3 linked regions of the Tamandua tetradactyla genome follow. The main gene of each other region encodes a partner of the protein of the gene in region 2 in a complex. Links are inferred from orthologs where the notes say so. Each region holds a gene or a part of one and is shown on either strand. Other genes may lie near its edges.

The links.
Region 1: the proteins of MAPK10 (region 2) and SH3BP5 are in contact, whole or in part, in a crystal structure (PDB 4H3B), measured with the Homo sapiens proteins. The link is inferred for Tamandua tetradactyla from reciprocal best matches to the Homo sapiens genes MAPK10 and SH3BP5. Residues at the interface, in NP_620448.1 of Homo sapiens: Lys121, Asp150, Ala151, Gln155, Val156, Met159, Leu161, Glu164, Arg165, Tyr168, Tyr171, Val197, Lys198, Ser199, Asp200, Cys201, Trp362, Asp364, Glu367; in NP_004835.2 of Homo sapiens: Val341, Val342, Arg343, Pro344, Gly345, Ser346, Leu347, Asp348, Leu349, Pro350.
Region 3: the proteins of MAPK10 (region 2) and MAPK8IP1 are in contact, whole or in part, in a crystal structure (PDB 3PTG), measured with the Homo sapiens proteins. The link is inferred for Tamandua tetradactyla from reciprocal best matches to the Homo sapiens genes MAPK10 and MAPK8IP1. Residues at the interface, in NP_620448.1 of Homo sapiens: Asp150, Ala151, Gln155, Val156, Met159, Leu161, Glu164, Arg165, Tyr168, Leu169, Tyr171, Val197, Lys198, Ser199, Asp200, Cys201, Trp362, Asp364, Glu367; in NP_005447.1 of Homo sapiens: Pro158, Lys159, Arg160, Pro161, Thr162, Thr163, Leu164, Asn165, Leu166.

What each region holds. Positions count from the first base shown.
Region 1 is NC_135341.1:73,336,546-73,344,272, forward strand, and holds the start of SH3BP5 (SH3 domain-binding protein 5), read left to right. Parts: upstream 1-4,643; 5' UTR 4,644-4,782; coding exon 4,783-4,929; intron 4,930-6,731; coding exon 6,732-6,794; intron 6,795-7,727. UniProt on the Homo sapiens protein: Functions as a guanine nucleotide exchange factor (GEF) with specificity for RAB11A and RAB25. Inhibits the auto- and transphosphorylation activity of BTK. Plays a negative regulatory role in BTK-related cytoplasmic signaling in B-cells.
Region 2 is NC_135350.1:40,818,551-40,825,788, forward strand, and holds the start of MAPK10 (mitogen-activated protein kinase 10), read left to right. Parts: upstream 1-4,184; 5' UTR 4,185-4,774; intron 4,775-7,238. UniProt on the Homo sapiens protein: Serine/threonine-protein kinase involved in various processes such as neuronal proliferation, differentiation, migration and programmed cell death.
Region 3 is NC_135334.1:122,532,800-122,540,187, forward strand, and holds the start of MAPK8IP1 (C-Jun-amino-terminal kinase-interacting protein 1), read left to right. Parts: upstream 1-4,381; 5' UTR 4,382-4,423; coding exon 4,424-4,524; intron 4,525-7,388. UniProt on the Homo sapiens protein: The JNK-interacting protein (JIP) group of scaffold proteins selectively mediates JNK signaling by aggregating specific components of the MAPK cascade to form a functional JNK signaling module. Required for JNK activation in response to excitotoxic stress.

The sequences.
Region 1 (7,727 bases), on a different chromosome or scaffold from region 2:
ACATAACAGCTCCAAACCACCACAGGAAAGCACTTTTTCTTTCTTTCTTTTGCAAAATCTTACTCTCTTGTTCAAGGAAATTCTGTTTATTATTCAAAGTCCAGTGTCAGCTTCTCTATAAAATTATCCTGGCCCTTCAAGGCAGAAGAGTGAGTATGAGCTCCATGTTCACCCAGTGGGTAATGAGGTCCTGCTCAGTTGCCAGGAGTGGAAATGCTGCTCCTTTTCCCACGTGAATGGCCAGCGCGCTCCTTCCATTTCCCAGTCTTTCGGCCCTAAACTCAACCCCACCATTTTGAAGTCAGCAGATCTCCCCACATTCTCTGATTCCTCCATTTCCCAGTTTCAAGAATTTGGGAGAAGTTGCCCTCTTCGCAGAAAAGACCAAGGAGCATTGCAGACACAGTTGGAGGTCCCCTTCACTCGAAGACAGAAGTGACAACCTTTGAACATGGCAGCATTTTCTGTGAGTGCTTAAGTCAATTCACATTTGTCGCCACACCTACAGAAATAAAACACACCCCAAGCATTTCATCTCTCCAAGGTATGAACCAAATAAGGAAAAGGTCTCTCTTTGCCGGAGATCTGCTTGTTTTATAATTTTGGGAGGACAGGGCCCAGATTGTAAGTGCTTTCCACCAATAAGGAGGTGGGGCTACAGGAGAGGTTGATGGAATCCTATGAAAGAAACCAGATCATTGCAAATAAGAACCCACAATGGAGGAATATATAAACATAGTCTCATCCTATCAGATACCATCTCCTCCTTCCTTCCACATATCAGCCCACTATTTTAAATGGCAACGGGGAGCAATGCAGAGGCTGTGATTCTTACCAAGGTAGATTTACAACTTAAGGAAGTGTGGGGCAGTGAACAAACACATATAACATATTTTCCCCCAATGTCTGGACTCAAACAAACTGCAAGGAGGTACTAAAAATAAATTGATCAGGGAGTGCGGAGTCCAAGCAAAGCTGTTCTTAAGATTTCTGTTTCTTAACAGCCGTCCCATCTTTGCCCACACCGTACAGTGTGTGGCTGCCTCAATACACGTGTGCCATTCCCGCTCAAGGCCCACCCAAAGCCTGACAAGGAGAGGTGTGTTCTTGGAAACCACACTCCCAGCAAAGCATTACAAAGTTGGTCATTTCCTCCGCAGGAGCAGTGTTCTAGTTTGCTAGCTGTCGGCATGCAACACACCAGAGACGGACTGGCTTTTAATAAAAGGGGATTTATTTTGTTAGTTCTTCAAAGGAAAGGCAGCTGACTTTCATCTGAGGTTCTTTCTTACGTGGGAAGGCTCAGGGTAATCTCTGCTGGCCTTCTCTCGAGGCCTCTGGGTTCCAACAACATTCCCTGGTGGTGATTCCTTTCTGCATCTCCAAAGGCCTGGGCTGAGCTGCAAGTGCTAAGATGAGGTATGCCGAGCTGCTTGGGCTGTGCTATGTTGAGCTCTTTCATTTAAGTACCAGCCAATTAAGTCAAACATCATTCATTGCAGCAGGCACGCCTCCTAGCTGACTGCAGATGTAATCAGCAACAGATGAGGTTCACATACCATTGGCTCATGTCCACAGCAACAGAACTAGGTGCCTTCACCTGGCCAAGTTGACAACTGACTCTAACTACCAAAAGCAGCATTCTCATTGGCATAGGAGTTGGGAAAATCTAGATTCTAGAAAATAACCAGTGATACACCAAGTGAGCTACTCCTTATGTAACCATTTCTTCAATCATTTAAAGTTGTTTAATTATATTTATATTCATCTAAAATGGGTATGAATGTACTGTGCCTGAAATACTTCACCAATGGCCAAGAAGAGTCCTGGGGGTATGTATTTTTCTAGTGAGGAGGGAAGTAGAAGGTTGAAATTCAGATTTAAAATAGACAATGCAAACTAGAATATACATTTCCTCTAAATCAGTAGTTCCCAGACTTTTTGGTGTCTGGATCCCTTTATATTCTTAAAAATGATTTATTAGAGGATCTCAAAGAGCTTTTGTTTATGTGGTTACATCTCTTGGCCATTACCGCATAGAAATGAAAACTGAGATTTAAAAAACAATTATTGAGCAGTGCAATGGTGGCTCAGTGGCAGAATTCTCATCTGCCATGCCAGAGACCCAGGTTCGATTCCTGGGGCCTACCCATGCCAAAAAAAAAAAAAAAAAGAAAAAGAAAACAACAACAACAACAACAAACAATTATTAAGTCATCTAAAAGTAATAATAATAAGTCCATCACATGTTAACATAAATATGATTTTGTGACAAATATCTATTACAAAACAAAATAGTGAGAAGAGAGGCAATGTTTTATGTTTTTGCAAATCAGATCCATTCTCATATCTGCTTCTGCATTCAACCTGTTGTGATGTCACATGTCCTGTAGCTTATGGAAATCTCCAATGCTCACTCATGAGAGAATGCGAGAGAAAAAGGCAAATATTGTCTTAGAATTAGTATGAAGCAGTTTTGACCAGAAGGATATTCTGCAAGGTCTCAGGGACCTCCAGGGGTCTCTAGGTCATCCTTTCAGAACCACTCCTCTAGATCGATATGCCAGCTAAAGTAAATATTTAAGCATTTTACATAATAGCATGGCTTGCCTTCTTAGTATGTGTGGTAGGCAGAATTATAAGATGGTTTCCATTTCCTGTCTCCTGTTGTGCAAACCCCTGTGTAATTTCTGGGGCTTGTGAATATGGTGAGGTAGTTGTTCCTTCATTAGATTAGGTATATGCTGCAGCTGACTTAAAGAATTGAAGACTCTCCTGGGTGGATCTGGCCTAATCAGGTGAGCTCTTAAAGCTAGGGACTGGGCTCTTCCTGAAGAAGAGATTGAAGTATGTGTGAGATTTGACACGGGGATTCTTTGTTGCTGGTTCTGAAGATGGAGAGAGCCACATGGCAATGAATGAAGGTGGCTTCCAGATGCTTAGTCCTACAACCACAAAGAAATAAATTTGACCAACTACCTGAATGGTCTTAGAAGTGATGCTTCCCTAGCCCTAGAACCTCCAGAAAGGAATGCAGGCTGGACAGCACCCTGATCCAGCCTGTGAAATCCTGAGCATACAGCCCAGTAATGCCAGGTCAGAACTTCTGACCCATAGAGCCATGAGATAACAAAAAGCCAAAAGCAACTATGCTTTTAGCAAGGAACTTCAAAACATCTCTCACAGAATTGTGGACTCTCCCCAGATTTAAAGAGCTATGAACAGGTCAAAGCAGAGGAGAAGGGAGATGATGGTGTGGAGAGGAACATGGAGCCTCCAAATGAAAATCCAAATATTGACAGCAGCATTCTCCTCAGAAGAGAAAGACCTTTACAATGGGGATCAATCACTATTAAGCTTCTACTACAGTGATCTTTACAGAAACAAGCCTATAGCATAGACCTGTACTATTTGCAGGAACAGGACAAATCTTTGAGAGTGGACCACAGTGTCAACAGATAGGGTGGCACCTTGCCCCAGGAGTAACATCCTCAAGTTAGCTTCTGGCAAAACCAGAAGCAGGTTTTTCCAGGTGGCTTTAACCCCAGGCTCTCAGAAAGAAGGTCCTAAGGAAGTTTGTCCTCCAAACTCACAGAGCCCATTGGCCACAAGCTTCCATGCACGAAGCATATACTTTCTCCATTTTGGTCGAGAAGGAAACATCAGGAGTGATGAGTGGCAATGTCCCTAGCCTGCTTTCCCTAGGCAGTCTGACCTTGTGTTCCTGATATCACAGTGGCCCTGACATTTCATAATAACGCATGCATGCCCTTTCGGTTGTTTGGCCTTTTGTGGTGATGAGTTTCCCAGGTAAGCTTTGGCATCCCACTTATTGAGGGTGGACAGGGCATCTCATCAGTTCATAAATCCTTGGCTAGAGTGTGTCCATCAACAGGGAATACACTCGGGGCGTCCTTGGAAAGGCTGTATCATCCCACCCACTTCCATGTTCAATGGGTTCTCAATGTTTCATGGCTATTCAGGTAGGACTATCACACACCTATGAAAGTGCAGGAGATTGGTTTGTGCTCCAAGCCTCCCAGTGGAGGACACTGTCTTGGGGAGAGGAATCCATGCATGGACCTGCAGCCGGCTCCTCTCTTTGTACTTTTGCATCTGCACAGAGCATATGTTTCCGTTCTTTTTTTCTGAGGAAATCTCCAAGTAGAGGCAATTCACAAGGTTCACCCAAAGGAAGAAAGATGCTTTGGGTACAAGGGTTTGAGTGGGTCTTGAAACTGGCCCAGGGGCATTGAGCACAGGTCTCCAAAGGTGACTTCTGAGAGTGGAAATGTCCCAAACGTTCCTCCCATACCCTAAACCTATCTTGGCTGAGTTTAGCCACCCAGAAAGCAGGGGGCTAACGCAGGGTGTTTTGTCATTTATTCGGGCTGCTAAGTTAAAAGTGGTGGTGGTGGTGGTGGGGACGCTCCTGTTTCATCAGCCTAGGGGTTGTCAGGAAACTGGGGTTTTTGTGACGGAGGCCCGGGTAATGGGGACCAGTAGATGAATGGTGTCAGGGCCGCGCCGAGGGGCGGCCCCGGCGGGACGAGGGCGGAGCGGGCGGCGTTGCGCTGACGGCCGCGGCAGAAAGGGGGCGGCCGCGCCCATTTCCACCGCTGCGCTCCGCCTCGGCCCGAGGGCTCCGCGGCGGCGAGCGGCGCCTCCCGGACGGTGGCACGGAGGCTCGGCCCAGCCTGCCGCGGCCGCGACCCCCTCGAGGCGCTGTAGAGCCCACCGCGAGGTTCGGGTTCGGCCGCAGCGCCCCGCACCTCCGCCCACATGGAAACGGCGTTGAAGCGGAGCCGCTCCGAGGAGCCGGCGGAGCTATCTCCGCCTGCCCGGGACGTGGAAAAGGAGGAGGAGGAGGAGGAAGAGGGGATGGAGCAGGGGCTGGAGGAGGAGGAAGAGGTGGACCCCCGGATCCAGGTACGGCGCGCGGGGGTCCCCTGGGATCTCCTCTCCGCAAGGGCTGCCGCGGAGGTCGGCGTCTACACCTCCACTCCGAGGATCCGCACGCAGCCCCTAGTGTCCGCGGTCGGCGGGGTCGCAGTCGCGTAGATCCTAGGGCTGCAAGAGGGGGTGTGAATACACCGTTTTCAAGCGCCCCCGCCTCTCCGGGGGGGCTGCAGTGCCCGCGTGGATGCGGCCTGACTACGTCGCGAGGGCCCCCCCCCCCCCTTTCCCCGCAAACTCTCGGCGGGATCTTGGGGGTTCGGGCGATGGGCAACAAAGGGAAAAAGGGACAGAGGAGCCATTGCCCTTTCCGGGGTACCCCCCGCGTCAGGCTCCCGGCGCCGCGGGTATCGCGCAGGCGACGGCAGAAGGGATTGCCCGGCCCGCGTGGGCTCTGGGGGCGGGCCCGGGAGCTCGACTGGGTGGGCGTTGCCCGCCCCTGCAGCGTGGGCTGGCGCCGGTGCCATGGGTTCGCAGCCCCCACCTGGCCGAAGTCACCGGCCAGAGTCGCCTCTCTCCTCCTTTGAGTCATTGTCAAGAAACGGGGGGCGGGGTAGTGTCCCCGCTGGTTCAACCCTCCGCTTGGCCTGAAATGGTTTCAAGCCCTGGTTTTCCTTGTTGTGAGGTCGGTTGTGAACAGAAATCAGGAACAAGTGATGCGCAGTGCTGACGCGTGCAGGCGGTGAGGGGGTTGGCCTGCCTTTCTATGCCTCCATTTCCAAGAGGGATGATTAAAAAACACTTTACAAGCCGACATCTATGAATGACAACTTAACCTCTGCACCCGCTAAGCAGAAACACAGCAAATCCCCCTTTCCAAGATCCGTTTTACTCTCCCCTTTCCATAAATCTTTTCTTTTTTATTTTTTTAAATATATATATTGCTAAAAAGCATGCTGTGCAGTTTTTGGAGCCCTAATTGATTTTTCAGCGCACAGATCAATTAAAAGCTCATTGAACTCAGTGGTTGGGGTTTAAATGAATTGTTTTTCGGCCGTTTAGCAAGATAAAGATCAGGTGGAAAAAGCCTTGAATTAGGAATGATTCGATTAATTCAAATCATCAGTTTGGGTTGCTATAGCTTCTGTTCTTGCTGGGAAATCCTGTTATCGAGATCCTTTGTTTGCAGAGCAGAGCAAAGATGAGTTAAGTTCGTGCTCCTTACTTTTTTTTTTTTTACAAATGTTAGATTGCAAATATTAATTTAAAGGATTGGGATTAAAACTAGTTAACTAGAGGTAGGTAGGTTGAATAATTGGCAGTTTAGAAAAAAAAGGGAATTTCATCTCTTTACCAAAAAATAATCAACCACAGATGACATGCCAGCTGTCTGTCCAGATTTAAATGATTTCACTGGGTTTAATATCCTTTTGGCTTGGCCAGGTTTTAAAACAAAATTTTTTAAATGCTTATTTCTTCCCTCTATGGCAGAAGGTACTGTTTTGATTCTGCCACTGAACTGCTTATAACAGGTGAGTTTACCTGAAGGCACCCACCTGAAATGGATATTTGACCTTATAGGAAAAGACAGATAATTCCTAGGCCCTTAAGCCATTTTTAAAAAGGATATCATCAAGAAAAAAACTTCAGAAATGGGACACTCATTTGCTTTTCCAGACAAGGCCCCCCTTTTTCCCTTGAGAATGAATACCACCTTTCCCCTCTTCCACAAAATTGTGCCGGGATCATTGTTTTCAGGTTATGGGCTGAGTTATTTTGGAAACAAAAGACCGATGCCTCAAATCTTTTTTCTCCCCCTTTCCTTCCTTCACTAGGGAGAACTGGAGAAGTTAAATCAATCCACGGATGATATCAACAGACGAGAGACTGAACTTGAGGTACAGAAAGCTGGGTCCCTTTTCTGGGTGTCGTGGTGTCAGTTACGCTGACAGTTCATTTTGCTGTAATAGCTGGAGGGTTATTTTGGAGGCCCTTCCTTGGGAATGGAGCCCGGTCTGTGGGCTGAAAGCCTGTGGATCCAATTTCACATGTTTTTCATTATGGAAGCTCCACCGGGCCCAAACCAATGGCTGTGTGAAGCACCGGACATGCTTAAGCCCCCAAATTTAATGTGTCTCTGGAAAAGTTGAAGAGACTGAGGGGAAAATGAGCTGAACTCTTTCATGTAGAGTAATGAATGAGCTCACAAAATCTCTTAAATGTTTAGGGGCTGTTCCTTCCATTTGTACTTGGAGCTGTTTGGTGTTTCCTCAGACTTACACCATGTTTTGACTTTTCTACCCTAATAATTCACCCCCCACTTCTACTTTCCTGCTCATTTCTTTATCCTCTCCTTGTGTATAGAATATAATTATCTTAGTGGTTTAAAAAAAAAAGTTGTTTAGACTGGGAAGGGCTTTCCTGCTGGGAAAAATCTCAGGGGAGGCAGCCTTGATTTGAATTTCATGAGCGTTTTCTGACCTGAGTGTAAACAGAGTAGCATTCTTAACAGCTGCCAATTAGTCCCCACCCCTGTTGGGTAATGGTGGATTCTACCCTCCTTCAGCAAACCTGAACGACCTCTGTGCATCTACGAGCGGGAGCTCTTGGGATGCTGGGAGCCACCCGGAGAACCCGTTTTTGTAGCAGTAGCAGGAGAAATAGCAACAGAGTTCCCACAGAAAGGACAGGAAACATCTGGGCTTGTCACCAGTCCTTAAGAGTGAGGGTCCAGGAGAACCTAGCCACGTGCCATCAGATGTGGTAGCGTGTGCTACGTGGAACTATTTGAATTTACATTTAAATAGATTGAAATTCAATAAGATTAAAAA
Region 2 (7,238 bases):
GGATTTGGATTAGCGTATGTAACTTGAGAAGTCCAAGAGGTGGGGATGATTTTTGGAAAGGTGAGAACCAGATATTCAAAATATACTTTCAAGGCCGTCTCTTTCCTTCTTGACTTTTCACTTTCTTTTGGGTTAATTTCATCTTTGGGTGGATTTTCTTAAAATGGTGGCAAAGATGGCTTCCCAAAGTTCTAAAACTATACTTTCTTACAGCTAATAATACCGTAAAAAGAAAGTCTCTTTCTCAGTGTCCATATCATACTTTTCCCCACCAAAAGATTCTGATTGGTCCTGTTTGGGTACAATAGTCACTTCATAGAGAGAGGAATGGGATACCCCTGTGACTGACAGTTCCATCAGTGGCATCAGGGGTAGTTCTCAAAAGGAAGAGAAGAGTTCTGTTACACAAGGGAAAGCAGGATGGCAACCATGACTAGGTTAAAATCAAACATTTTCTTCTATTAAGTGTTGATTCTTACCTTTAGATGACAAATTTGCTCCTATATTTTGGAGTGGATTTTACTATTTATGCAATTTTTTTTTTTTTGCATGAGCGGTCACCAGGAATCAAACCCAGGTTTCCGGCATGGCAGGCAAGAATCCTGCCACTGAGTCACTGTTGCACTGCCCTGGGTTTTACTATTTAGGGCTTTAATTCTCAATCTACTCTTTTCAGTAATATTTAGATGAATAAAACAATCTTTTACGTCTTCTGCATACTTCAGTAAATTTTCTTAAATTTAATTTCTTAAAATTTGTTCACGTAACACACATTGGTTTAAAAAGAAACAAAAAGTCACACCTAAGTAGTTCCCATTCTTTACTAGATAAAACCCAAACTCCTTATTTAAGGTCTTCAGTAGGATGACCCCAGTGTATATCTCCATTGCCATTTCCCAGTTCATTACAGTATGCCTGAGAGAACAAAGAATAATACATTAAACAAACAAACAAACAAATAGATATTGATTGAGATTATGGTGTGTGTCAGGCACAGCACTTATGCAAAGATAATTGCATCCATCATATACACTCCTACTGCTTCCATTCATTCTGTACTTTCCATACCGTATTTTATATTACTATGATTTTATGAATACTCTCTCACCTTATACTTGTCTGTGCCTTAACCCTTTTTATTTATCATTGTCTTCCAGGAACCTAGCATGGCATTTTATACAAGGAAAGCGATCAGTAAACATTTATGGTTAATAATGATCATTACTTTACAGCTATAAACTTTTTTTGTTTTGTTTTGTTTTTTTTTTGTTTGTTTTTTTTTTCTTTTTTTTTTTTATTAATTAAAAAAAGAATTAACAAAACAATTAGAAATCATTCCAATCTACATGTACAATCAGCAATTCTCAATAACATCACATAGTTGCATATTCATCATTTCTTAGTACATTTGCATCGATTCAGAAAAAGAAACAAAAAGACAACAGAATAAGAATTAAAACAATAATAGAAAGGAAAAAAACAAAAACAAAAACAAAAAAACAAAAACAAAAACAAAAAACCTATACCTCACATGCAGCTTCATTCAGTGTTTTAACATAATTGCATTACAATTGGGTAGTATTGTGCTGTCCATTTCTGAGTTTTTATATCCAGTCCCGTTGTACAGTCTGTATCCCTTCATCTCCAATTATCCTTTCTCTTTTTTTTTTTGTTTTTTTAATTAACGGAAAAAAAGAAATTAACCCAACATTTAGAGATCATACCATTCTACACATGCAATCATTAATTCTTAACATCATCACATAGATGCATGATCATCATTTCTTAGTACATTTGCATTGGTTTAGAAGAACTAGCAACATAACCGAAAAAGATATAGAATGTTAATATAGAGAAAAAAATAAAAGTAATAATAGTAAAATCAAAACAAAACAACACAAAACAAAACAAAAACCTCTAGCTCAGATGCAGCTTCATTCAGTGTTTTAACATGATTACTTTACAATTAGGTATTATTGTGCTGTCCATTTTTGAGTTTTTGTATCTAGTCCTGTTGCACAGTCTGTATCCCTTCAGCTTCAATTACCCATTGTCTTACCCTGTTTCTAACTCCTGCTGAACTCTGTTACCAATGACATATTTCAAGTTTATTCTCGAATGTCCGTTCACATCAGTGGGACCATACAGTATTTGTCCTTTAGTTTTTGGCTGGATTCACTCAGCATAATATTCTCTAGGTCCATCCATGTTATTACATGGTTCATAAGTTTATCTTGTCTTAAAGCTGCATAATATTCCATCGTATGTATATACCACAGTTTGTTTAGCCACTCGTCCGTTGATGGAGATTTTGGCTGTTTCCATCTCTTTGCAATTGTAAATAATGCTGCTATAAACATTGGTGTGCAAATGTTCGTTTGTGTCTTTGCCCTTAAGTCCTTTGAGTAGATACCTAGCAATGGTATTGCTGGGTCGTATGGCAGTTCTATATTCAGCTTTTTGAGGAACCGCCAAACTGCCTTCCACAGTGGTTGCACCCTTTGACATTCCCACCAACAGTGGATAAGTGTGCCTCTTTCTCCGCATCCTCTCCAGCACTTGTCATTTTCTGTTTTGTTGATAATGGCCATTCTGGTGGGTGTGAGATGATATCTCATTGTGGTTTTGATTTGCATTTCTCTAATGGCCAGGGACATTGAGCATCTCTTCATGTGCCTCTTGGCCATCCGTATTTCCTCTTCTGAGAGGTGTCTGTTCAAGTCTTTTTCCCATTTTGTATACAGCTATAAACTTTTGATCTCTAAAATATTAGTAAAAAGTGTTAACTTTTGGGACATCCCATATTAAAACAGGTAATCTCAGTTATGATATTACATATTTGAACTTTGTGTTAAGGTATAAAAACACCTTTACTAACTTTTTTCATAGTACTTTCAAAGAAACATTTAATCTAGAAGCCTGATTTGAATACTATCAATATCAATGATAAGAGTTTTTCACAGGAGAATTTTAAATGGATAAATGAATATAACTTCTTATTTTCAAAGGCATGGAGTTGTATTTATTATCTTTCGTATCCAGGTTTATTTATTTAATGGCATGTAGGTACTTTATGGTGGGACTTGAAGATATCCAAAAATATTTTTTGTTCTCCAAGCAAGGAAATCTCCCTTTCTTTATAAATGCAAACTTTGGAATGCTATATTTTGCTATATTTGTATAGCAAATACTTTGGAATGCTATATTTTGCTATATTTGTATAGCAAATACAAATACCATAGTAAGTATGGGTTTAGTTTTACAGATTTTTTTTTTTTGCCAAATGAACTCAATAGAAAGTTTTTTTTACAATCATTGGATCATTTAAATTTACTTTCAAGAAAAATTTGTATTTCTGATAATTTATAAATTATTAAGGACCAGATGATAAATCTGGAAAAACGTTATTGAAAAATTTCCTTCAAAATATTTTTAAAGGCTAAAAACTTGGGTAAGCTCGTTCTTTTAACTAGTGGAAGTAATAAACCGCTTTTAATCCAAGAAATTATTATTTGTGGATATTAAAACTATAATATACCCTAACGGGCAAAGGCAAGGAATATTAACAAAATTGAGATATTTCCCTCAAATAGTAATAATGCCCTAACAGGCAAAGGCAAGGAAAATGAACTAAATGGAGATATTTCCCTCAAATAGTAATAATGCAATTTACATTTATTTTCCAGAGAATTATTTGTGATGATAACAATAAAAACAACAACCCTGATTTGTTAACTCATATTATCAATATTTTCTTTCTACATTCAAATCGCAATCTGAGCATTATTAGTTTGTTGTGTTTTGACTTAGTGGGTATTTACTCAGGATTTTTTAAATGAGAAACAAGGAAACTGAGAAGAGGAACAGTGCAGTACAATGACCTCTGGGCAAAACTCAAATGCTTACTTCTCTAGGGTAATTATAATAGCTTGCTTGTCTTGACATTCAGAGATAGTGCATGTCTCTCTCCACACTGTTTGCAAAAAACCTGAAATAGTTGGAAAACAGAGATCGGATGCGTTTCCAAGGTGTTTTGTAGTCTGCGGGTATTTGCTCCTCAGAGCTGCTGTGAAAAGGACCAGAATCGCATCGTGGGGAATGTTTCTCTGGATTGTGCAGCCAGGCTCCCTGATGTCGTAGTTGCTGATACTGGCTGCCGACGAACCCTGTTCCTTCACATTTGCCTCGTCCTCACTTCTCCAGAAAACACAGGAGCTGTAGCCGCACATAGACTTTTTCCTCTTTCTCTTTCCCCCTCTCACCCCTCCCTAGACCTCTTTGGGCTTTGACGTCACGTGTGCTCCTTTCCGTTGCCATAGCAACCCCATTCCCCAAGCCCTCTGTCCGTCTCCTCTGGTAGGTTCCACAATGGTACAGGCAGCATCACGCTGCACAATGGTTTCCAGGCAGTGAAAGAGGGTGATTCAGCAAGGCACTCAGCTTCTTCTGTTGTTGTTTTAAATCTCCCCTTCTCTTTGTTTTTATGGGGGTGGGTGGTACTTGCTATATGCTTTCCTTTTTCTTTTCTTTTTTTCATTTTTGCAATTTTCCTTTTTTTTTTTTCTCCTCACCCCTCAATTCCTAGGGGGCTGTGAGTGACTTTAAGATGGAATTTTCTTGTAAGTCACCTGTCCATCATTAATTTTAAACAACCTCCCCACCGCCAAAGACTATTCCTTGTCACAGTTTGGAATGTGGTTAATGAAAAGCAACTAGAGAGGATTTCTGGGGCAAACACTGCCGGATCACTACCGTAGTTCTCAGACACGGAATGGTAGGTGGCTCTAAGCTCATTTCGGGTTCTGACTTGTTTTTGGAGGGTGGGGTGACGTCTATTGATTGTTTCTCATGGGGTGGGAGAGTGAGGGGTGGGAGAGGGGGGCGAGGTGGGGTGGAAAGCAGGTTAATGAAGTGAACTACCTCTGAGCCAAGAGGCCACCAGGTTTTTTCCCTGTGTGGAGTATCTTCCCTCAGACCTGGGTGTGCTGTAACCTTTCTGTTTGGAGTGAAGGGTGGCAGAGGGTGGGAGGGAGCATTCTTACTGTGATCAGGGGTTGTTAGACCAACGTAGAACTACAGAGGGAAGAAGAGAGAGAGAGAGAGGGAGAAAGAGAGAGGAAACATCTGTGCTTGCCAGAAGTGCCAGCCTCAGTCCCATATTTGAGAAATGCTATTCCTTTTTAATAGGAAATTAAAAAATAATGTCTTTAAGTGTGCATTAACTGAAATAAATATTTTATCACATATTCAGTAGAATATGGTATTTATATGTTTTAGCTGTAAAACTAGAGTCATTACTTTTACAGAGAGCCTAGGTTAAATTGGTGCTGGTAAAGGGACCATAGAACAGGGAGCCGGTTAGAGATAAGAGAAAAAATTGGCACTGCAGTCACATAGGTAAGGGGTTCCTTTAAGAAAGTGATCTCCTAGTCACAGGAGGCAGCATTTTTTTTTTTTATGGCATGGTTCCCAGGTATTCTGTGCTGGGATACCATGTCCCCTAGAAATGTCAGAGCTCCTTTGGTGAAAAAAGAAAAGAAAGGAAAAACATATATCATTAAAAACAAGCATAGCAATATATTTATAAGAATATGTGATATTTGAAAATCTTCAGGTAAATCATGATATAGATAGTACAATTAAAATTATATATATATCCTTTTTTTTTGTCCAGAAATTTAAAGCAAGACCGAATCTCTGTTTTTACCCTTTATAAAGATAACTTCCTAGGATACTATAATCTAGTCACAGAAAAAGAATGGCATATCTCACAGCATTCTGCTCTGAAGCAATCACAAGGTTGTTTACGTGGGCTGCCTTTGCTGCAGAGTCTGAGTGTCTGTACAGTAGCCTTGATCACTTCTCCTGTGCTGACTCTAACTTTTATGAAAAAATTGAAAAGAGGTTGGCCAAGTCATATGGGACAGGTCACGCAGTTCAGACTAAAAACAAATGCCTATAAATGCACAAGACACTGCCAGTCCAAAGTCCAATTTCTTCCTCCATCACTAATCTGCTGGTTGTTGGACTCTGAAAAGTCTCGTAGAATACCGATCAACATATTAGAAATGTTTGCAGGAATAACTGTTCCTCTCAGAGAGGCTTCTGCACATTTTCTACCCTAGGTGAGCATCTATGTTGTAAATGTAGATAGTGATGCTCACGAATGAGTTCACAAGTGTCCAACTCCACTTCAGAAACATTGGATTTTAGGTGCTATACAGTTTGCATGTAGCAGTTTTGTTGCCTCTGGTATGTACTCCCCGGTCTACCTTATTCTCACTCCTAAAATTGACTGAAAGTACTGGGTTAGCTTATTTTAATAGAAGGAGCAAACCGGTTTTCCCTGCCCCACATTGGTAGTAGAAAATCAGATATAAACTGTGGTATGACCTTAGGTGTTCAAGAGTCTTCCTGCTTCCTCATTTGTAAGCACTTCCCTGTTGCTGCAAAGTATCTTTAATTTGATGGGCTCCTTTTCTGACAAAATGTTTGCAGTTTCAGTAAAAAGGCTCCTGATGATGGGGCAGTAAGAAATTATATGCAGAGAGGAAAAATCAGCTGCCTCCAGCTTCCTGCTTGCTCACCGCAGAACAGCATCTGCTGTCGGGAGGAGTGTGTTCAGAGGAGGAAGGGGATGTTTATGAACAGATCTCAGAGGGATAGAGTGTGTTTTTGCTGTCATTGTCTGGTACATCTGCAGCTATTAGTATTTAATGGTTTCATAATACATGTCGATGTTTTTCAAGGTTAGGATGAACTGAGAGTTGATCAAGGATGCTACAGTACATGTGAATACTTAAAATTTACAGGAAAACCTATAGGTTACCCTAGTCAGTATATTGTATAGGAATATCATAAGCAAAAGGAATCTGCCTAACCTAAGTAACCCGAAAATGCTTTCCATGTGTAATGGCATATATATTTTAGAAATTTTATTGTAGCTTCATGTAAATGAATCTATTTCTTTGAATGTTAGCTTGGTTACAAAGTCTTTTTATACTGATGATAAAAGATAAAGACAAATTTGGGGTTTTCTTGTTTGTTAAATCTGGGGACAGAGGCTCACCCTTCCTGCTTTAGATCTGGCTTTGGATCATATTTATAGTTAAAGGACTTTCCTTGGAATTGTGTGCAAATTGAATATTGCTTAATTGCTTATCAGGATATGGGCTCAAACCTAGAGAATTCCTTTAATTAGATAAGAAGTAAACAAATTGACATCTTAAAAATTCTTC
Region 3 (7,388 bases), on a different chromosome or scaffold from region 2:
TCCAGTGGAGCACAGGGGTAGGGCCCTAACAGGGGTTCTGACAGCTGCCACCCTAGTCTTCCCTCTTTACATAAGGCTGAGGGACATTAAGGCAACAGTTTTGGCTCTTGTCATGAGTATGGGACTTTAGAGGCAGCCAGAAAGCCCTGCTTGAGTTCCTGCTTTTTGACCTTGAGGCTTGGCAGGCTGGAGTAGACCAAGCCACCTAGTCTGCCTTCTTTCTTATTTTAAAACTCCCCACTCCTCTGTCCTTCAGACCATTCCTTGGGTGTCTGGGACTGGCCACAAGGCCATAGATAGGAATTTCTGAGAAGTTTCCACCGTCATGTGGAAGTACACCTAAATATGTGAGTGGTGTGGTGGGGACATGGTACTGAAACAGCACATGTTTGGAGGCACAGGGCTTCAGGTTAGGAGTAGAATCTGAGCTCTTTGCCCAGAAGCTTGGAGCCAGCCTCAGAGCTTTTCCAGGAGCTGTGGGGGGGCCAGGGTCAGACTTGTCCCTCCACAGGAAAAGATCAGGTCCCTGCTGACATCAGGTCCCCTGGCCCCTCTGGCTACTCTCCAGGGCACCACAGTGCTGCCAGGGAGAACAGCTGAAGTTCAGCCAGGGAAGCCATTCCAGCCCATTCGGTAGGCTTCCGGGACCTGCCCTGCGCTGGCTAGCATCCAGCATGCAGCTGGACTCTGAGAAACCAGGCAGGTGGACCTGAGTAGGGACAGCCAGGGACAATTGACAGAGATCCACACAGAGAACAGACCCAGCACACCAACCCTGCTAGCGCAGCAGGTGGGAGGATTGACCCAGAGAAGCCAAGCCTTGCATTCCAGAGGTGGCCGTGCCTCCCCTCCCCTCCCACTGTCAAAGGCCTGTGTTAAGAAAGTCTTAACGAAGCAGGGACTGCGTAGTTCACTGGAGCAAGTCTTCCTTCTACCCTATGGCCTGTCCTTGAGCCACAGGGGTGCTTGTACGTGTGTGTGTGTGTGCGTGTGCGTGCCCACACGTATGTGCATAGCTGAGAGGCTGATTCCTCTTCGGATTTTTGTCCTCATATGCTACATTAAGCTGGCCTCTAGGCCATCTCCTCTCTACCTCCCCTGTGACCTTACCTAGCCTCATAGCTGTTAACTGCTTTGGCCCGAGCCCTGTCCCTCCCTGTCCTCTGTCCTCAGACCAGAACCGTGGGGCCAGGCCCCTGTCTCCTACAGCTGTCCAGTGCATTGGCAGGCTTCTTCCTGAGATGTCCTCAGGTTTTCTCAGCCAGAAAGCTGCCTTTAGATTCGAACTGTTGTATGTATGTCACTCTTCCTAGAAATGTCCTATAATTGAAGCGTGGAGAGAGGGGAGCAGGGCACATGTGATGGTGTGTATTGGAGAATGGGGTTGGGGACTTACCTGTTCCTTAGCCCCAGCCTCCAGGAGGAAAGAGAATCAGAAGCCATTGCCAGAAGGGCAGTAGAGTAAGTCTGGAAGGGCTAGTCTGAGAAACTGAGAATGCAAGAGGGCTTAGGGCTGGAGTCGGTTATTTGTTTAGCAGCACCTTCAAATATCGGGATGATTCCTTTGTCCTGCCTATATTTGATGATAGCTCTCTCCCCTAAAGTAAAAAACCACCTCTCCCTACTTTACCATCCCTGGCATGCTGGCCTGTCCCCAGGACAACCTTCCAGTGGGGTGCAGCAGTCTACTCCGGGGCTGGGAGGGGAGGGTTGGGGTGAGGGTGTGTCCAGTGGCTGTGCCCCCCTTCTAGCACAGGTAACCAGGCGGCTACTGCAGAGCGATGCTCCAGTCCTGATCCAGGGGCCAGCGTGGGGAGGAGATGGTCGCAGGCAAAATGCACTTTATAGAGATTTTTTTATCATTGGGAAGGTGTGTTTCTCCCACGGTTTGTGAATATTCAGTTGTTTTATAAATGTCTAATCCTGTCTAAGCAAAGCTGTGTTGCTGTTAGTCTTATGAGAGGTCTGGGGGCTGGGGTTTTAAGGCTGGTTCTCTTCCAGCCCCTCCTTGGTGGGTGGGAGGGGGTAGGTGGGAGGGGGGTGTCTCAGGGGACCTACTGGAGCAAAACTGGGTGGCCAGAGCTGGGGTTCAGTTGGCCAGAAGGATTCAGAGCAGGCCAAGCCCAGGATGAGGTTCCTGCGTGCTGTCCTGCGGGGCCTCAGCCTGTAGCCCATTTGAGCCCCCCAGGCTAGGAGACAGTCAGTGCATGGCCCTCAATCCGTCCTTTACCTCAGTAGTACCAGTTGGGCTGCTGCTCTGTGGCAAGGACGGGACGCAGGCCCTCTGGTTCCGGGCTGGATGCTGTCTTCTTCCCGGGGCGTCTGGCCATGAGGACCCTCTAGACAGTGTGTGGCTTACCTGCTGGTGCGGCCTTTCCCATTGCCTTGGGCTTTGGGGGACTGGGCGTGTTGGCAGCCCGCCCTCCAGCTCCCTTTGTCCCTGCGCAGATGGGAAAGGGGAGAAAGAGAGGGACTGAGCCCTGGGGCCTGTCTCACTCTCGTGCCTGCTTTGAAGCGTCTGCTGGCCCTCTTCCCACCAGAACCTGGAGCGCCCTTCCCTTCGGGATTCCTTCTAATGTGGCTTTGGCTTGGCCCCTGGACTAAGATTCTTCTGTTCTTAAACCAAGGAAAAGGGGTTGTCCAAACACAAACACACTCTTGACTTTTCCTTCCGCCCTAGCTGAGACCAGCACACAGTCCATGGAACGTTTATTAGCCAAGACAGCAGAAGTGCTTTCCTTGAAATAAAATCCAGGCACCATGGCAGCAGCTGGTTACTGGGAGGGCCTCAGGAGTAGTGCCTGTGCCAAGGTAGAAGGAAAGGTAAAGGGTCACCCATCTGGGCCCCAGGGGCAGAGAAAAGACACAGCCAGGGCTTTTGGCTCTAGGTATTGGGATGCCGTCAGGGCTGGAGCTAGAGCTTATTTTCTGCAGGATAAATACCAGCAGCATCTTTCTGGGAATTACACTGAAGGGAAAGGGGGCAGCATGACCAGTGGGCAGTTCAGGTTTGCAAATAGGATTTTGCAAGCTGTGAAGAAGTGTTCTGCCTCTTCTCCAGAGAGGTGAAGGACAGGGTCTCTGGTTCTCTTGGCTGGCCAGAGGCCTTGACCCACTGAAATGGGGGCCCTGGCCTTGGTCAGCAGCCTGAGTGCCAAGCATCTCATGGTCTGTGAAAGAACTCAATCAGGCTACACAGGGCCCTGAAGGCTTGGAAACCCAGGCTGTGCGCTCTGAGGGAGGAGAGGACCACAAGGAACCACAGCCCAAACCTAGCAGGGGTGGAGGGTTCGAATCTCAAGAAGTTGACAGATTGGGTAGGGGGGAAGGCCCCGACCTTAGAGTGTGAGAAACCAGTGGTAGGCCCACCCAAAAGAGGGGCAGTGTGCAGGAAATGCAGTTGAGGCTGAAGAGAGAGAAGCTGGGGGATTTCTGACACGAAGGGGAAGCTGAGAGGCCTAGAGGAAGGGCTTAAGTCACCATTAATACCTGTTGGGGGCCAAAGGCAACCTTGGACCAATCTTTAGAGATGAGGGCCTCTAGGGAGGAGCCTTGGGGTCAAGATAAGGAGACAGGAAAGGAAGGAAGGAGGCCTGGAGCTCCTGGAAGGTGCAGGAGCTGCAGTGTTGAGACAGGCCTGGTTTCCAGTGACAGCACATTCATACATACTACATTTCACCATCGAAACGACTCTGGGAGGGGCTGTGCTTGTCCTCATTTCAAAAGTGAGGAAGCTGAGCCTTAGGATTGTTCAATCACGAATGCAAGGCCCCCATCCCCACCTAGTCACCTGGGGAGTCAGACTGAATTCACGCCACCTGACTCCAAAGTTCACTGCCGGAGGAGCCATCCGGCGGCGCATCCTTTCTCCCCTCTCCGTCTTCCTCCCTGAACCTCTCCCGCCAGCGTTCTTGGCCTTCGTCTGCTACGGGGCCAACCGGAGCGTTGGGGACCCAGGGTCCAGCCCTCGGCACCTGATAGCCCGGCGCTAGGTCCGCCCCTACGGACAGAGCTCACCGAGTCCGCCCCGGAGACCACGGGCCTTGCCCGGGGAGGGGGGCGATGTCGGGTCTGGGGAGGAGCTGGGCCGAGCGCGGGGGCGCGGGGGCGCGGGGGCGCAGGGGCGGTGACTTCAGCACTTCGGAGAGCGCCGGCGGGCGGGGCGGGGCGGGGCGGGGCGGGGCGTGAGGGGCTCCGGCGGGCCGGGCGCGCGCCGCGGGGTTTTCGCCAGTACCCGCGGCCGTGCGCGGGCCGGAGCTCGCGCTGCCCTGCGCAGGTGCGCCCGCCGCGCCCGCCGCGCCCGCCCCAGCAGGAGCCCCGCGACGCCCGCGGCCTTGTCGCCGCGCCTCCGCCTCCCTTTCCTCTTCCGCCACCGCCTCCTCCGCGCCGCGCTCCGCCCGGATGGCCAGAGCTGTGCCGGAGAATGGCGGAGCGAGAGAGCGGTGGCCTGGGCGGGGGGGCCGCGTCCCCGCCGGCCGTCTCCCCGTTCCTGGGGTTGCACATCGCGTCGCCTCCCAATTTCAGGTGAGAGTCCCGCGCGCCCCCTGTCAGCTGAATCTGATTTGCCTTCCACCAGCGCAGCACGCGCGCACCGGCCCCGGGTGCGAGCCTCCCTCCTAGACAGAGCCCCGGACCCCGAGCCCCCCGAGCCCCCCGAGCCCCCCGAGCCTGGAGTCCAGACCCCGAGCCGCTGCGTCTCGTGGTGCCGCGGCCGCCGCCGTTCCTGCCCTCGGGCCGGAGGGCCTGAGCCGGGATCGGGGGAGGGCGCCGGGGCCGCCTGCCCGGGGGCTGCGGCGGGCCGGGTGGGGCTTTGCCTGTGCCCAGCCGAAGCCTCGGCGTGGAGACGGGAGCAGGCTGCCGCGCCCCGCCGGCCCCGGGTTCTTGGGGCGGCCGACCTCCTTGGTGTTGGGAGGAGGAGGTCGCGGGCCCCTTCCCGCCCCGCCTGACCTAACGCCCAGGCCGCCCGGGCACGATCCCGCGCTCTTGGGCCAGCACCGACCTTCCAGGCGTGTGTCTAGGTGCAGGAAACTCAGTATTTCCCGGGGGCCCGAGGCCCAGCCAGGGTCGGGAGCTTAGTTTGGAGAGCCAGAATAGCCAGGGCCATCGGGTGGGGGGGGTATCCAGGACCCTGGCCCGAACTCTCCTTCCACCCCGCCCCCCACCTGCTGTTGCTGTTAGGGAACTAGAAAGTGGGTTTCAGAGGAGGGAAGGGTGGGTTTTGTGGGGGCAGGGGTAGATGTCCCTGCCCTGTAATCCTGGCCCCCAGGTGGGGAGGAGGAAGAGGGGTGCAGCTGTGCAGGGCCTTGTGGAAGGGGGCTTAGAAAAGCCTCACTGCTTCTCCATCTAATGAGCTGGCGCCTTCCCCTCTCCCGGGGCCCCTACCCCAGGCAGGCCCCAGCTGGGCTATGGCGCCAGCCCCTTCTCTGACCAGGCGGTCGCTGACTCCCTGGCCCTCAGGTGGGCAGAGACCCCTGGGGATCTCTAATGGCATCATCAAGCCCAGGAACCTCCCCCACGGCCCTCAGCTGAGCTGGGGGGACCAGAGGGAGGGGTGCCAGATGGGGAAGGCCGAGGCGTAAGGCTCCACCTGCCATGACAGGCTGCCTGTGTGCCTGCCCCGCAGCCAGAGGGGCCTGGGTTCAAATCCTGCACCTGCCACTCCCTAGCTGCGGGACCTGAGCAGAGGTTTTCCTCCGAGTGCCGTCTGTGAAATGGGCTGGTTAATATGAATCCCTGCCTGGAAATGAGGTCATGCACACTAAATCATGGCATAGCAAGGGCGCCTCCTCCCTGCTAGCGGCCCTTTGTGTAGCTCGTAACTGCCCGGAGTCTTTCCCTGGCCTGTGAGTGGGGCTTGGCCCGCCCGTTTTAAAGGTGAGGGAGTTGAGAGGAAGGCAGAGTGGCTTGCCTCAGGACCTCGAGAGCACCAGTGGCTGAGGCTGGACTAGAACCCAGGTCCGGGTGTCTCTGTCCACTCCACCACCTGCCCCCACCTCTGGTCCAGAGCTCCTCATCCCCGCCCACCCCCGCCTGCGAATCTCACGGAGGCCCTAATGCGAGCAGCTGGCTAGATGCACACCAGCCCGGGAGTGTGTCCAACTCGGGGCCGGATGGGGTAAGGGCGACGGTCTACAAAAAGGGTAAGGCATGGCCTGGCCCTCAGGACAAGGCCAGCTTGTGGGAATAATAAGAGTCTGTGTCTCAAGACTCACAGGGCCTGTCCCGCCTGCTCTCACCACCCCCGCTGTCCTTTCCTTTGTCCCAGCACTTGGCCTCACTTGGTTTAACCCCAGACAGCTAGTGCTCTCCCCTGGCTCTCTGGTGGACTGATGGGCCCAGCTGGCCTGGGTCTGAACCCACCTAGCCTTCTTAATTGGGTGCTTAGCCCCCTGGGCCTCTCTTCCTTCTCCAAGTCGCTGGCTTTGAGCCCTGCTCAGAGCAGTCCTGGGTAAGGCGACACCTCCTGAGAGTTTCTTGAGCTACCAGAGCTGCGTTCGCACGGAGCTGTTCTTATTATCGTGTCTGTGCTCCTAGGCCCCGGCTCTGCTGTCAGCTCCTGGAAGGCACGAGGGGTCAGTACCTAAACACTTGTATCCTCGGTGCCTGGACTAGGTGCTCAGTAACTGTGTTGGTTTATTATTTCACTAAAGATAAAATCAGTGCAGGAGATCAGAGAATAACAGTGGTGAGTGCCAGACACTGGGGGTACTTGCTCAGCCCCGGCTCAGCCCCACGGGCTTCTGGGTGGCCAGGCAGCCAGGCCGCACTGTAGCCATGGAAAGAGAAGAGCGCTGCTCTGGTTTGCAGGTGAGGTGGCCAAGCTGAGATCTAAACCCAGGCAGTTTGATTTCGGAATCACCAGAAGAGAGCTGAGGGCTAGGGCGCTGGAGCAGACCTTGTGGAGGGGCCAGGGGGGAGGCACAGCGACTGTGCTCGTGGTTGTTTTAAATAGATATGTGTGGAGTCGTTGTTTTCTTTATTTCTTCTGATTATAGAAATGCTCCGAGTTACTTACCCTTGGATATGGTATTGGATGAGGGATTTCACTTATTTTACTTATGTCTGTATTGTTTGACTTCTTGTTTTTACAATGAGCATAGGTTACTTCTGGAAGTTACAAAATAAAGGAAACTAAGTTTAAGTGATATACATTCATTATTTTAAAAATTCTAGGAAAGAGAATTTAGAAATGAACACAGTGAATGAAATGGAGTTGGGTGGGTGGGGTGAAGGGGGTGGGACAGTCCACTGGGGGTCGGGGGTGCAGCTCAGGGAAAGCCCAGGAGCAGCTGAACTTGAGTGTGTGGAAAAAAAGTCACAGACCAAGAAAGACCTTAGAAATGAGCTCATCCAAACCAAGCCCCCATCCTTTGAGAGAGGTGGACATC